2 linked regions of the Caenorhabditis elegans genome follow. The protein of the gene in region 1 purifies or fractionates together with the protein of each later gene. This does not show direct contact. Each region holds a gene or a part of one and is shown in the gene's direction. Other genes may lie near its edges.

Region 1 (7,388 bases):
CCTGAAAGAAGTGGTTATAGGTTCAGATCATTAATTTTTTTGAGCAAATTTACTGTCGACATTTTTGTTTTCAATTTTTAAGATCTAAATCTGTTTCAGATTTTGACTTCTCTTTTTTTCAGCTACACATGAAATTGACGACCTCTCAGCACTTGAATGGGAAACTTCGTCGGAGCAAAGTGGACATTGAAGGAGTTCTTATCACACTAATTGTATAATTGCACATTTTTTGTATGAATTTTTCTGACGGCATTCAACTTTTTTGTTCCTGGCATCTTACGAAATCGCAAAACACAATAAAGCAAAATGTATACACACGAAAATTTGTTGAGGTGGTGCTGCTTGTGGTGGTGAGTTTTTGAATGGACATTCAGGGTAATTTTCCTGGGGGCCACGAGTGGTCAGAGCAAGGACGCAAGGGAGAAAATAGCGCGAGCGTGCGGTCAGATCTCCGAGACTGGAATAAAAGAGCTGTCAACTACTTTTTGAACACTCTCCCTTTGGCATCCAACTGCGTCTTCTTGGTCAGCTACTTATGCCACAAGTCGTAGTGGTTCCAATGTAGCAATGTTTAGTTCTTTTTTGGATGTATTAATATGTTATATTCTTGTACTGCTATATAGACTTGTTATAAAAAAGTAGTAGCTAAAATTAAAAAAAGTTTCTGGTTACTTTTGGTGTTGGATCCGTTTCCTGTCACGACCCCCGTAAGAAAAACCTTTCCACTCAGACTTTATACTCTCTTAAAATATTTCATGTATATGTGTGCATGCAAACTTGCTCCGGAAGTTGCTAAGTTTTTGAATCGCCATTTTTTGAGTTTTCATGTCGGACTATACTTTTTGTCAACCAGTGTTGCAATACAACTGCACAAAACTCCGTCATAAGATTTATTGGATCTGAAAACTGATTTCTTATAGCTCACTGACGTAATTTATTAAATGTTACGTAGCAAAAAAAGATGAAGCAAGTTTTAAGAGTAGGTCAAGTGAGTTATTGGAGGTAGACTGAGTGGTCAGAAGCAAGGTCCACCACAAAACGGAAGAGCATAAAAGGCGCACCTCTGTGGGAGGAAAGGCAAGCGCCCGTGCGGTCATCAATTCTTTTGCTGCCCACTTACCAAAAACTATACTTTTTTTGCCGAATACCACATATGTGTTATCTTTCCTTTGTTAATCATGCTCAGATGGTTTCTTTGTTGGTGTTGACTAATAGTTTGTTTCAAGTACAATGACCTTGCGCTCATTTTTTTCTTAGTATAGTTTGAGCTCTCTATTTCTGGATATTTCTACTTTGTCCATCCATTTAGGAAGTTCGTAAAATATATGTACTGTATTTACCACTTCACTAAATTTTTTTTCAACTCCCTATCACTTCTTTAAAATACGGTCATTTAAAAATTACTTTCTCTTAATTAATCAAGAATTGTTAATGGCTAATTATCAAAAATAGAGGTATATTTGTTCATTTTTCAATTTTTTTTCTGGTTTATAAAGCTCCTCTGAAATATTTTCCTTGTTAAAAAATTAAAAAATTTATAAAATTTACCGCATTTCATATTGTATGGTTCATAATTGACCTCTTCTCATAGTCAGATTGGGATTTTACAATTATTTAACAATTTGATATTTATTTGCGTTTAATTAAACTTTAATAACTTTGTACCATTGTTTTTTATTATCAATTACTGAGTTTATGCCACTTTTTGAGAAAACTATAGCTTTGCTGCATGTTTGAATCCCTACAATTCTTGAAACATAACTAGATAATACATTTTCAAAGATACATTTTTTTCCGACCGCTTTCAAGAACATTGCAAAAATAAGTAATTACCACTTTTGAAACAATGTTTTTATAAGAAAGCATTCAAAACACGTTTGAAAATTTTAAATATGATATTTGATCATTTTGGCACGATCGGAGTGGTTTTCAACAATTTCCCCACTGGCTCCACCTTGAAATGTAAAAACAACTAAAAGTTATTTTTATACCATCTACATTCTTCCAAAAAAAATTATACTCATTCCCGAAACTTGTTCTTTACTTGAAAGAACTCAGCAAGATTGATGGAAAATGATCGGAAATGGAGGTTGCGCTCGCTTTCTTTTCTTGTCCCGCAGCCTATCTTCGTGTGTTTTCTTGTTTCAACTCACCGACTATAGTTACTGACGCATTCCAAAGAGCTATTATTGCTCATGTAATGGACACTGCTAACCAATTGTTCCAATGTGCACTTTAATCGCTCCTTATACTTTTCCTGTCGTATTACCCGCCTCCCAATCATGCCAGTATATATATTTATCCGAATAATTTTTGAGATGTTAAAAATTTTATTTTTTTTCTGCAAATTTTAAAAAGGTTTCGAAAAATTTCAAACGCTTACAGATCCCAATTGAAAAGATCAACATAATTGGATGAGTGAGACATTCTGATGTTGTCTGCTCAAGAGTACACATGTAACCAGTTCCAGTCTTTCCATGCTGACCGTCTGTCTATATTTGGTCGTCTTTCCAATTTTTGCTTCTTCGCAGTTTTTATCATATGATGGTAGGTGAAGCTTCAGAAAATTCAATTTCATGTCCCAATTTTCAGCAATTCGAATGAGGGTACCAGGACGTTGTATGTTGGGTGACTATGATTGCGGGTTAGGTCAGTGTGTTCCAATTTCTCAATTTCGAGATGGAAAACCTGATTGTATGGATGGTAGCGATGAATGTAAGTACATGAAGCAATATGATTTTAAGGTAATTCACGTTTAGGGTGTTTCATCGGTCAAGTTAGTTGTGGTCCAGTTTATTGTGCAGATTACAAAGATGCACTTCCATGTATTGTTTATCCTAAATGTGACGGTTCATCAAAACAACTTCCATGGTGTTCTACGTCAAGTGAGTTCATTTTAGGTTTACCTAATAATCTCGATTAGTATATTAGACATTTGAAGGGAGTAACTTCCTGCTAAACAATTGAAAACTGCCATGGAATTTCGTTTGCCAACTTTTTTGGGCAGTTTTTAATAGAGCATGTCAATTATTTAAAAATTCAGAATATTTTTATTTTGTCTGAATTTTTGTCATTTGTCTGCAGCTAATACTCAATAGTTGGGAGAAAAAACATACGGGAATAAGTTAGTGAAATTTTAAATTTTCAGAAGAAAAACTATGTGCGGATGAAACGTCATTTCCGTGCAAAGGTTACGGAGAGTGTGTTTTGTGGGAATGGTTGTTAGACGGGAAGAAGGATTGTAACGATGGCAGCGATGAAGGTATTTTTACTTTTAAAAAATTGGCAAATTGATAAAAACAATTTTTGATCGCAATAGTATGTAGTGTTATTCTCTGGAACTAACGTTTGTAATATTGTTTGAAGAAATATTCTTGTGTGGATTAAACTGGAAATTTGGAGAGTTCAAAATCAGAATTTGTTTTTCCAGACGAAAACTATGTGATGCCTCTTGAACACGCCTATAGATGTGCCAGAAATCAATCCGGACTCTATCTCCCAAAACCAGTACCACCACCACCGGAAGATCACCCGTCTCTCTACGTGGAAGGTTGCTCAATGTGCTCGAAACCATCTACCGTCACCTTGCCATCTAATCCTGTGATAGACTATACTACTCCAAAATATCCGTTTATTACATCTCCTCTGCTGGGAAATACAAAACCACCGTTGAGTAACTTCCCAGTATTTCCAAGTGAAGAATCAAAACTTGGGGATTTCTTCCCTGAACCATCCGGTGTCGAAATATCACGAGTAACTGGCTTCCACAAACCAAATGAGCCAATAGGAGACTTCTTTCCAACACATTCATCAACACCTGTACCTCCAACAGAAGCTGTCACTCAATCTCACACATTTCGCCTTATAACAATTCCATCAATTAGCCAGACGCAGTTTCCTCAGGCTCCGCTCATTTTTCCTGGACGGCCAGACTTGCCACCCATCACTGCGCCCTCACCTCTAAACAACTGGCCAATTCCAATTGTGACTACCACACCGGACCCACACCATCAAGGCCCACTTCCGCCGATTACGTATCCAACTATAGAAGAGGGTTCGGAAAAGATTCCACCAATAAAACCGGGAATTATAATCAGCCGACCGGTCACTTCAAGAAAACCAGATCTACCATCAGAGTTTGAGTATGGAGGAGGCACGGGTGATGGAATATCGCAACCACCAGGAATGAATCCATTTGACATGCTCACTAGGCCCAGTGTTCCAATGACAACTCCAGGACCTTTTGACATGTTTCCTAATGTACCACCTGTAGACCTCCGCCCAGTTACCCGACCATGGGAATCTGAAAAAACAAAACCTTATCCTGGTGTTACAATACCGGATGAACAAAAATCCGGTACCGACACGTTAATACCATTAATTCCTGGTCGCATTCTTCCAACTTTCGCAACACCAAGACCACTCTCCATTCCAAGTTTTTTCACAACTCCCCAGTCACCCCATAGACCTTTCGTAACTCAAAATCCTCCTCATGGTGCATTACCAACACTGATCCCACAAGCCGAAATTGAGAAGTATGTGCAAACGGAAGTACCACCTCACTCTGGTTTCGAAATACCGGGAGGGGGTTTCACAACACCTGGTAGCCATATTACCCATCCTTCGAAAGTTCCAGAAGGTTTCATTGAAGAAAAAACATTGCTGACGCCTTCTACAAACAATGCTCAGACAACTCAGATAGACAGAAATCTTACACCGAAAACCACCACTTTGAAGGCTACATCTCGAACAAAAATTATTCATGTTGGACCAAACGGGGTTGTTGAAGAAATCGATAATAATGAGTCGACGAAGATTGAAAATGAAACAAATTTGGGAGAACATGAAGGACAAATTGTACCAGGATCAGATAAAGTCATACACATTGGTCCAACAGTGAAAACGACTCCAACACCATCTAGTGGTACTTCAACGATTGTCACCGAAAACAGTTCAACCTTCGAATCGGTATCGACTTCAAGTGTTCCAACAACAACAGTGAAGACAGGTGACCCACAGGTTGATGACTGCCTCCGAAGAATGTCTGATTCTGGTGGATCGGTAATTTGTGATTGTCCAAATGGCCAATTCAAAAACACTGGGAACGGGCAATGTGAAGGTATTGTTCAAAATTGTATCGCTTTAATTAATTTTGCTTGAAAATATTTCAGAAACTCTTTCATTGGTGGTTGTCAAAGTGAAGGTTAACACAGTTTGTAATACAGATAAGGCATCGCTTGAGCAAAAACAGCGGATTTTACATCAAAAGGTAGATTTGTGGGTATCAATTATTTTTCATATTGGAAGTTTTTGCAGATTGGTCAATCTTATAAATCGTGCATTCGTTCGGCGGAACATGATTCTGCATTAGTTGCTATTGTTCAATGTAGTGACTGCACTTTGCAAGAGATCGATCGATTGTTAACGACAAGATCATTCGGGGAGCCTGGAAACTTGAATCTGACTGCAGAAGGTGAGTGTGCACAGCTTATAAACCATATCATGTAAATTATTTCCAGCACTCGGCACTGATCTGTGTTCCAATTCGGAGTTCAATCATTGTCATGTTTACTCGGATTGCATTCTAGATGATGAAAATTTGCGGTATGCGTGTAAATGCAAAAAGGGTACAACAGATAGTTCGGATGGATATGGAAGGTCGTGTGAAGGTTTTCCTGAAGAATCAGAGTAAGAAAACGTGTTACATGCAAAATAATATGTATCAATTTTTAGTTGCGTGATGGTTTTCGGAATCTGTTTAATTGTCTGGCTAATTTTTCTCCTGGGATCCTTCTTCTTGTCCCTTCTAGCGTGCATAGCTTGTTATGCACTCTGTCGGAAACGATGTTGTCGTTACATTGCGATTCACCCTGCCAACGCGGATGGTTTGCAAACTGTGGTGAGCCAAGTTTCGCAAATTCGAAATTCCTAAAACTCTTATAATTTATTTTAACAGGTTGTGGGTCAAAAAGCTGCGAAAAGTTTGGAAATGGATGGAAATCGGGAAAAGTTACCTCACATGAAAGCTATATTTGCTGAAAGTCTGAAACACAGCGCCAAAGGATCTACATCTGTAGCGAGTGCATTTGCTCTGGCAGATTTCAAGCGGAAAAAAGTTTCAAGGCCTCCGGACATGAGTCAAGTTATAGAAGAAGTTAACGAGGTAAGGTTCAATGTGTTTTATGATCCATTCAGCCTTTTGAATGTGTTCAATGTTTCAGAATCCCACTGCATCCATTCACAATTCAGAGTCTTTACCGAAAGTTAGTAGCCTTGCAAAGATATCAACGCACACAGCGAATTCGGAGCCTCCAACACCCGTAGGCGTTATCGAAACTCCTATTCTTGAGAAGGTACTTTCACATCAACACTTGAAGTCAATCTTGTCCATTTTTAGAATTCAAGCTCCGTGTCTCTTGTCTCGGCAAATGACAACGCACCTCAACTTCCCAGTTTACCACTGCCGCTTCCTGTACCAATCACGACGAGCGCATCAACAACCAATTTAGAAGAGACGACGGGAAAGGAGAATGGGCGAGAAGGAGGAGGAGGGAGTCATGCATCAGCTCAGGAACAACAAGTTAGCAAAAATAAACATAAGTGTTTTTTCTCTCTCTCAATGAGGCGTTTTCTTCTAGGTGCCGGAAACGGAAAGACCAGCTTCGTCGCATTCAGTTGGTGTGCAGCCAACCATTTGGGAGACGTATCGAGTACTTGGACAACAATACTCGAAATCTGATTTGACTGGTGAATAAAATAAATTGGTATCAGTGGGTAAATGCATATTTCAGAAAGGAAAGCCAGTGTGGACTCACTCGAACAAATGTTCGAAGCAAGGCTCGCTGAAACGTCAAGAACCACCAAGACCATTCCGACTGTTCGAACGGACAAATCTGATAATTCTGCAATAATCTTTACTGCAAAACCGTACAAAAAAGATACAGAGTGAGTGCTATGAACGTGACTTTTAGAAGCGTTCCTAGTAGTAAAAATTTGAAAATTCAGTGTATAGGATCGCGCCAAAATTAATGAAAGCCACAACATTGCAAAATTAAATGATTGGCATAAAATGAATTACTGTTCTTACTTCGGCCTCATTATCCATTTTTCCTAAGTTACATTATACATACGACGTCAGTATTTGGCACTTCTAGAGCACAATTTCAAACTTTGTGATCCAACAGTTTTGAAGTAGATATTTCACAAAATTTTTCGATGAAAATTTCCAGTCTGATTTATTGGTGACAGTTTGTGAAATTTTCGTTCACTTTCGTAAAGCTTATTTGTGAGTAGGTCTTGTTTTCAAAATTCATTTATTCTTCGAAAACTGTTGAACTAATAACTTTACCTGAGCTAGCCGATGGAAAAATGTTTGAAAGAGGTGTTAA
Region 2 (7,659 bases), on another chromosome or scaffold:
CTGGGCAAGTGGGCAAGCAGCGGTGAAAGTGGTCAATGCAATATGATGGATTACGGGAATAAAAAACCTAAACTTTTTCTGGAACATGATACATATGCTGCTTAAATGCTGAGACTACCTGATTTTGAGGTGATTTTGATTTTGAGAGTTTTGAGGTTTTCAAAATTCACTTTTTGTGCGAAAATCTCGACTTTTTCACCGAAAAAGTTGAATTTTGGAAACCTCAAAACTACAATGCCCACTTTCACCGCTGTTTGCCCACTGAATACATGATTTTTTACTTGGAAATTGTTTCAGCATCTGCAAAAAATATTTATTTATCACTTTTAATAAGAAAAAACGGGAAAAATCTGTGAAAAATAAAAGAAAACAGGCGGAAAACAAAGCAAGATAAATGGCCGCTTAAACTTGTCGGCCCCTCGGCCATGGCCTAGGAACCACTTTTCCTCGTCCCTCGTGAGGAAAAAGTTGCAGTGCCCATATTCCAAGACCCTCAACAACGCCGTGCCAGAGTTTTCAGAGAAGCATTCCCCGATTTTATGCGTGCAATGGCAATTCCACACGATAAGGATCTAGTGCTCGAGCTTCCACAATCAGCCGATTGTCGGAACACTTATTCGCCACGTGTCGGCCATATGTACGGAGTCCCGCCAGGAGGATCAGCAGCAGCCGACGCTTTACGGGTTCCCCAGGCTGAAGAGCACCGGCAACCTGGAGAATATCAGCCAAAACAGTCACTGGATACGTATATCGGCTTGCTCACAAAGACTTTTGAGCACAATTCGGCGGATGCTACTGGCTACAAGGTTCTACAGTATCAGGTAGATCATACGACATCGCCGAGCACCGCCGGATTTATGCTCTTTTTGGATCCAATTGTTCCAGCAGCGGTTCAGCAGGCTTCAGCTCCACCGCCGGCTCCTCCTCAGCTTCAGGGAATTGATTTGGCGACGATTTTGCAGTCTTTTGGGGCTCCGGGAGCAGCTCCTCAGATGATCCCTGAACTGGACCCCGGGCCGCCTCGGCTGGGCCCTCCAACCCTCCCACTGGTGCCTCCAATCAATCCAGTTGAAACTGAGAGTTCACTTGGAGTATGGGCAAAACGTGGTGGAGCCCGTGATGGTCTTGGAAGCCTTGGACTCCTCTCGGAGTTGGATCGGGCTCGAGATGTGCTCGACGCGGTGCCCCCGCTACCGCCTGGTGGGATTCATGGAGCTCAGCAGCAGCAGCAGGCTGTTAGAAAACGACCGGATTCACACCAGCAACAACAATCGGAGGAGAATCGGAGGAAGAGAATGTCCACTGGAGCGAGGAGTGTATGTGTGCCCGAAATTTGAAAAGAAAATTGTGGAAATTTGTGGAAAACTGCTAAAAATTTGAATTTCAGAGCTCAAATTCCAGAAAAAGGCCAAAATTTGAATTTTTGCCCTAAAATTTGTGAAAAACCTGCAAAAATTGTTTTAGTCCTGAAATTTTTGTAATTAAGCTGAAAAATGTTTTTTATAGCTGACTTTTTGTGAAATTAAACCCAAAAATTTGCGATTTTGGTTGGAATTATTGAAAAAAAAAGAATCGAGAAATTCTGAAAGTTTTCAGAAAAATTGGGCGAAATTTTTTGAATTTCGGTTGAAATTTAAGATAAAAAACAAAAATTTTGGAAAAAAAGTTGAAAAGTTGTTGGATTTCAGAGGAATTTTACGACGCTAAAATTCCAGAAAAATAGGCAAAATTTGAATTTTTGAGCTTAAATTTCTGAAAAAAAAAACACAGTAAAAAAATGTGTAAAATGTTTCAAATTCAGCTTAAAAATTCAAATTTAGCGCTGCAAATTTTCCGGAACACGGCAAAATTTTTGAATTTTATGCTGAAAAAAACCCCCCCCCCCCCCCCCAAAATTATCGATTTTCGCTGAAATTTGCACTTTTGGCCTGAAATTTAAAAAAAAAAAAGAAAAACCAACGATTTATAAGAAAATTTTGAAATTTTCCAGAAAAAACGCCCTGAAAATTGGAAAATTAATGCATTTTAAAATTCAGAATTTTGCTCTGTTTTGCATAAAATTACACTGGAAATTTCAAATTTTACTCTCAAAATTCTTTGATTTTTCCATTAAAAAACCCCCCATTTTTTGCAGGATCTCGGATTTGGAGGCCCCGGGCCCAGTGGAAGTTATGGACCACCACAATGAACATTTTGACATCTACTTTCTACATATTTGTGCATAATTTTTCCCCCTTTTTTTCACTTTACCCACACACAAAAAATTCCCCAAAAAATCATGTAAATCCGAAGATTTTGATTTAAAAATCGATAAAATCGATCGATTTCAGCTAAAAATGAACATTTTCAGATACTTTTAAGCCGAAAATCGGAAAAATTTGAAGATTTTGACCGAAAATTCGATAAATTTCAGAAAATCAAAGTTTGGAGCTTTTAATCCCAAAATGAGCATTTTCAAGGATTTCTGAGCTGAAAATCTGAAAAATTTGAACATTTTGACCTAAAAATTAGCAATTTCGAGAGTTTTCAGCCCAGAAAAATGGATTTTCAAAAATTTCGCCAAAAAAAAAGCAAAAAATGCAAAATTTTCCATTCAAATTCAAGAATTTTGAATGAAAAATTTCAAAGAAATTCGCACCAAAAATTGCTTTAAAATCGTGAAAATTACGACTATTTTTCACTCAAATATTCAAATCTCCCGCCGACCGCATATTTTGTACTGTATTTATTTTTTTCTGAAATTTTCCACTAAGAAATGTGAATACCCTCCATATTTCCACCATTACCCTTTCAGTTTTTCATGTACTTTGTTTCCCCAGCCCAGCCGCCCAGCTCTCCATATTCACCAATATTTCAACGGGTTTTCCAAAATTATTTTAAATTTTTTCCACAAATTTTTTTTTCCTAACTTATCATGAATTTATGCTCAAATTTTTCGCGATTTCCCCTGAATTTTCGGTGAAAATCCACTTATATCTGAAGGCTTTTTTTAAATCGATTTTTGTGAATTTAAAAATTTTAAATCATTTTTTTTCACCAATTTCTTGCAGAAATGGAAACCAGAAGACGTTCTTCACGTCTTCAACAACAAACTACGTCTGATTTAAATGCTCGAGAGGAGCCTCAACCATCGGAACCACCGGTGAAAAGAGCTCGCGGAGCCAAGAAAAACGAGGTTCGCCGCGGGGATTTTTTCAGCGAAAATCCATGAAAATCTTGAAAAAAATTTGACGATTTTGCCGAATTTCTAACCAAAAATAGCAACTTTGGCCATGTTTGACCCCAAAATGTACGAAAATATGAGAAAAAAATAATTAATTTCGAAGAATTCTTAAGAACATTTGGATGAAAATTCGTTTTCATCACATTTTTCGATTAAAATTGTAATTTTAAGTTTTTACAGTAAAAAATCGAAAAAATTGTAATTTTTTGACCTAAAAATCTTTAAAAATCGATAAATTCGTGATTTTTTGACCTAAAAATATTCAAAAGTCGATAAATTTTTACCCAAATTTTTATAAATTCAGTATTACAGCCGGAGAAAAGCTGAAATTCCTATAAAATGCAATCGCGCTCTACCGAACTCCTTTATAATTCAAATTTTTTCAGGCCCCATCCACTGCTCCAATGCCACCAAAAACCACCAAAAAATCCACAAAACCGAGCCGAAAACAAGGTTCGCCGATCGAAGCGGAGCTCGACGAGATGGGATTCGAGTTGGAGAACGAAGAAGAAGCTGAAATTGTTGTGCAAAAGTCCAAGAAAAACGGCCGAAAATTGGTGAAAATCGATGAAAATTTGCGAATTTCTGCTGAAAATGGCTCAAAATCATCGAATTTTTTGGAAGAAAATCGCATGGAAATTGATGAAAAACCAGGAAATTTGGCTAAAAAATCCTCGAAAAATGGCTCAAGGGTGGTGAAAAGCGATGAAAAATCGGAAAATTTGGTTCAAAGTGTTCCAAAATCTACTACAAATGGCTCAAAAGTTGCAATTATCGAAGATGATCCGGAAATTCGGGCTGAAAATGGCGTAAAATCTTCAAAATCTGACGAAAAACCGGATTTTTCGGCTCAAAATGGCTCAAAATTGGCTCAAAATGCTCCAAATCGAATTTCCCGCCCACGTAGATCAGTCACAACCGCCAAAAAAGTGTCCTACGTGCCAAGTGATGATCAATTGGAGTTGAGCTCATCGAGCTCCGAACTTGAATCCTCTTCAGAAGACGAGGACACTGAAATTCGTCCGAAAACTGGCTCAAAAATTGCGAAAAAACGCGAAAAATCGTTCAAAATTTCGGAATCTGAGAGCAGCTCGGAGAGCCCCGACGATGAGTCTGAAGCTTCTGAAGCATCGGAGGATCCTTCAATTCCAGGACCTTCGGAGCCCAGAAAACGACGAAAAATTCAGAGAAAATCAACGTTGTCAAGCGGCGGAGCCACCACAAAAGACCTTCACTGGCCAAAATGCTCCAAAGCATCGATCGCTAGAAAAACTGGAAATCCAGGCAGCAAAAACGCGGCGAAAAAGCCGGCAAAATCGAGTCTTCGAATGGCTCAGAAACAGAAACCCGATCAGCCGTGGAAGAAAAATTTGAAAGGTGAAAATTTTGTGGAAAAAATCGAAAAATTGGTGTGAAAATCAATATATTATCGAGTTATTTTTTGCAAAAAGTCGGAAAAATACTGCAAAAAAATGAGAGATTTCTACCAATTTTGGAATATTTTTCAAAAAAAAACTTTCGAGCGTCGAAAAGCGAAAAATCAAATTATTTAATTTTGTTTTTGCCAAATTTTTGAAAAAATTCTGGATTTTTTTGAGAAAAAATCAAAAAAATTGGTGAAAATCAATATTTTATCGATTTTTTGTTACAAAAATGAGTTTTTCCCCTATTTTGGATTTTTTTTTCGAATTTTTGAAAAAATTTCCAGGAAGAAAAATTCGAAAAATCGATTTTATTTTTTGAAAAAAAAAATTTTTTTGTTTTTTCAAGAGATTTCTTTTTGTTTTAAATTTTAAAAAAAATTTAAATTGTACCAAAAAGGGATTTTTTTTTGAAAATTGTCCAATTTTCGATTTAAAAAATCCAAAAAAAGATTTTTAATTTTTTTTTTTAGAAAAATGTCCAATTTTTTGATGAAAAAATTGAAATTTTTCGGAAAAATTTTAATTTTCAATAATTTCCGGTCATTTTTAGTCCGAATTTAGAAAAATTTTAAAAAATTACCGAAAAAAATTTTTAAAATTTTTTTCGTTTATCGGTGTTTTCTGGAGAAAAATTCTCTAAAAAATGTGTCAAATATTCCAAATTTTGCCTGCAGATTTTACGAATTTTTAAACTTTTTTTCTCGGTAACAAAGAAAAAAAACACGATATTTTTAAAAATTTCTAAAAAAGAATGTATGGAATCTTAGGATCAAAAATAGATTTCAAAAAAAAAAATTTTTTTTTTAAAGATTTTGATGTTAAATTACCGGAAAAAAATTTCAAAATTTGGAAAAAGCCGAAAAATCTGTAAAATTTCTAATTTTCTAAAAAAAAAGTTTCGATTTTTTTTGCTAAAAAATAAAAAAATAATAATCCAAAAAAGAAACAGAAAAATCGAAAATTTTAAATTATTTTCAAGAAAAATAATAATTTTAAAAAAATTGATTTTTTTAAGAAAAAAATAACAAAATTCAATTTTCAGTAATAGCCGGTCATTTTTGGTTCGATTTTGCGAATTTTTGGTGAAAAATCGAAAAAAAAGTGAAAATTTCCAAATTTTCTGATCTGCCAAGCAGCCTCTTCTGACAGATAAAGCTAAAAATTGGCGATTTTCTCTGAAAAAAAAAACCAAAAAAAAAAAAACTAAATTTTCAAATTTTTATGATCAAAAAATTAAAAATCATAATTTTCCGATTTTTTTCATTAAAAATTTCGAAAAATTGACGTTTTTTTGAGCAAATTTTCAATTTTAAATTTGAAGAAGCCGATTTTTCTCCGATTTTCAAAATTTTATTTTAACAATTTTAACAAAATTTTAACCCAAAAAATCTGATTTTCTCTGAAAAAAAATCGAAAATCTCGAAATTTTATGCTTTTCACAAAAAAGCATAAAAAAGCATGAAAAGCATAAAATTTCGAAATTTTCGATTTTTTTTCAGAGAAAATCAGATTTTTTGGGTTAAAATTTTGTTAAAATTGTTAAAATTAAAAAGTTAAAATTTTGAAAATCGGAGAAAAAGGCTTCTTCAAATTTAAAATTGAAAATAACTCAAAAAAAGTCAATTTTTCGGAATTTTTAATGAAAAAAATCGGAAAATTATGATTTTTAATTTTTTGATCATAAAAATTTGAAAAATTCAGAATAAAATTAAAATTTTTTGATTTTTTGTAAAAAAAATCACACAAAAAAAAATAAAATTTTCCAAAATTTCCAGACTACGAAACCGATCGTAAATTGGCAAAAGGTGAACGTCGTATGCTTGAATATCGCCACGTGGCACACGCCTACGTAGCACGTGGAAAAATCGAAGAAATCACGTATGACGAGGCCTACAAACTGCACGAAATGATGAAAAAAGCCTATTTCGCGGGCCGCTCGTTGTTGGATGCAGCAGTTCTGGATCCCGTCGAATTTGAAAAATCTCAAAAAAATGTGAAAAAATCGGAGAAAAACGACGAGAAAAACACGGCGGGAGATTCGTCGTCGTCGGAAGATGAATGGGAAGAAATGGAGCATTTTCAACCACCGATTATTGATGATAATATTGAAGTATCGATTGATCATGAAGGTGGAGGAGGAGATGATGGAGAAGAAGTTGTGAAGGATTGGTGGGCAATCTATTTGAGACAGGAGATTAATCGAAAAATTCGAGAGATGTGGGAGAATACTCATAAGGTGCTGCTGCTTGACTTGCTTGGAGAAATTGGAGGATTTTTGAGGCGAAAATCGGAAAAATTCGAAAATTTAGACCCAAAAATGAGAATTTTCAGACATTTTTGAGCTGAAAATCGAAAAAATTTGAAGATTTTGACCGAAAATTCGATAAATTTCAGAAAATCGAAGCTTGGAGCTTTTAATCCCAAAATGAGGATTTTCAAGGATTTTTGAGCTGAAATTTGTAAAAATTTGAGCGATTTGACCTAAAAAATGATGATTTTCGAGAGTTTTCAGCCAAGAAAAATGGATTTACAAAAATTTAGACCCGAAAATGAAAATTTTCAGACATTTTTGAGCTGAAAATCGAAAAAATTTGAAGATTTTGACCGAAAATTCGATAAATTTCAGAAAATCGAAGCTTGGAGCTTTTAATCCCAAAATGAGGATTTTCAAGGATTTTTGAGCTGAAATTTGTAAAAATCTGAGCGATTTGACCTCAAAAATGATGATTTTCGAGAGTTTTCAGCCCAGAAAAATGGATTTTCAAAAATTTTGACCCAAAAATCATGTAAATCCGAAGATTTTGATTTAAAAATCGATAAAATCGATCGATTTCAGCTAAAAATGAACATTTTCAGATACTTTTAAGCCGAAAATCGGAAAAATTTGAAGATTTTGACCGAAAATTCGATAAATTTCAGAAAATCAAAGTTTGGAGCTTTTAATCCCAAAATGAGCATTTTCAAGGATTTTTGAGCTGAAAATTGTAAAAATTTGAACATTTTGACCTAAAA

The links. The genes of interacting proteins can lie anywhere in the genome.
Region 2: the proteins of R11G1.1 (region 1) and xpc-1 fractionate together in Caenorhabditis elegans (co-fractionation; one large-scale study listed by BioGRID). This does not show direct contact.

What each region holds. Positions count from the first base shown.
Region 1 is NC_003284.9:3,657,015-3,664,402, forward strand, and holds the start of R11G1.1 (EGF-like domain-containing protein), read left to right. Parts: upstream 1-2,477; coding exon 2,478-2,547; intron 2,548-2,592; coding exon 2,593-2,715; intron 2,716-2,759; coding exon 2,760-2,885; intron 2,886-3,148; coding exon 3,149-3,262; intron 3,263-3,430; coding exon 3,431-5,119; intron 5,120-5,171; coding exon 5,172-5,269; intron 5,270-5,316; coding exon 5,317-5,473; intron 5,474-5,519; coding exon 5,520-5,688; intron 5,689-5,733; coding exon 5,734-5,899; intron 5,900-5,956; coding exon 5,957-6,163; intron 6,164-6,221; coding exon 6,222-6,353; intron 6,354-6,397; coding exon 6,398-6,580; intron 6,581-6,638; coding exon 6,639-6,747; intron 6,748-6,791; coding exon 6,792-6,945; intron 6,946-7,388. Other genes in the region: R11G1.7 (Ovule protein), read left to right, coding at 123-190.
Region 2 is NC_003282.8:1,990,039-1,997,697, forward strand, and holds the start of xpc-1 (XPC (Xeroderma Pigmentosum group C) DNA repair gene homolog), read left to right. Parts: upstream 1-3,050; 5' UTR 3,051-3,052; coding exon 3,053-3,175; intron 3,176-3,609; coding exon 3,610-4,600; intron 4,601-6,422; coding exon 6,423-6,883; intron 6,884-7,659. Other genes in the region: Y76B12C.6 (TPR_REGION domain-containing protein), read left to right, coding at 512-1,316, 2,135-2,188.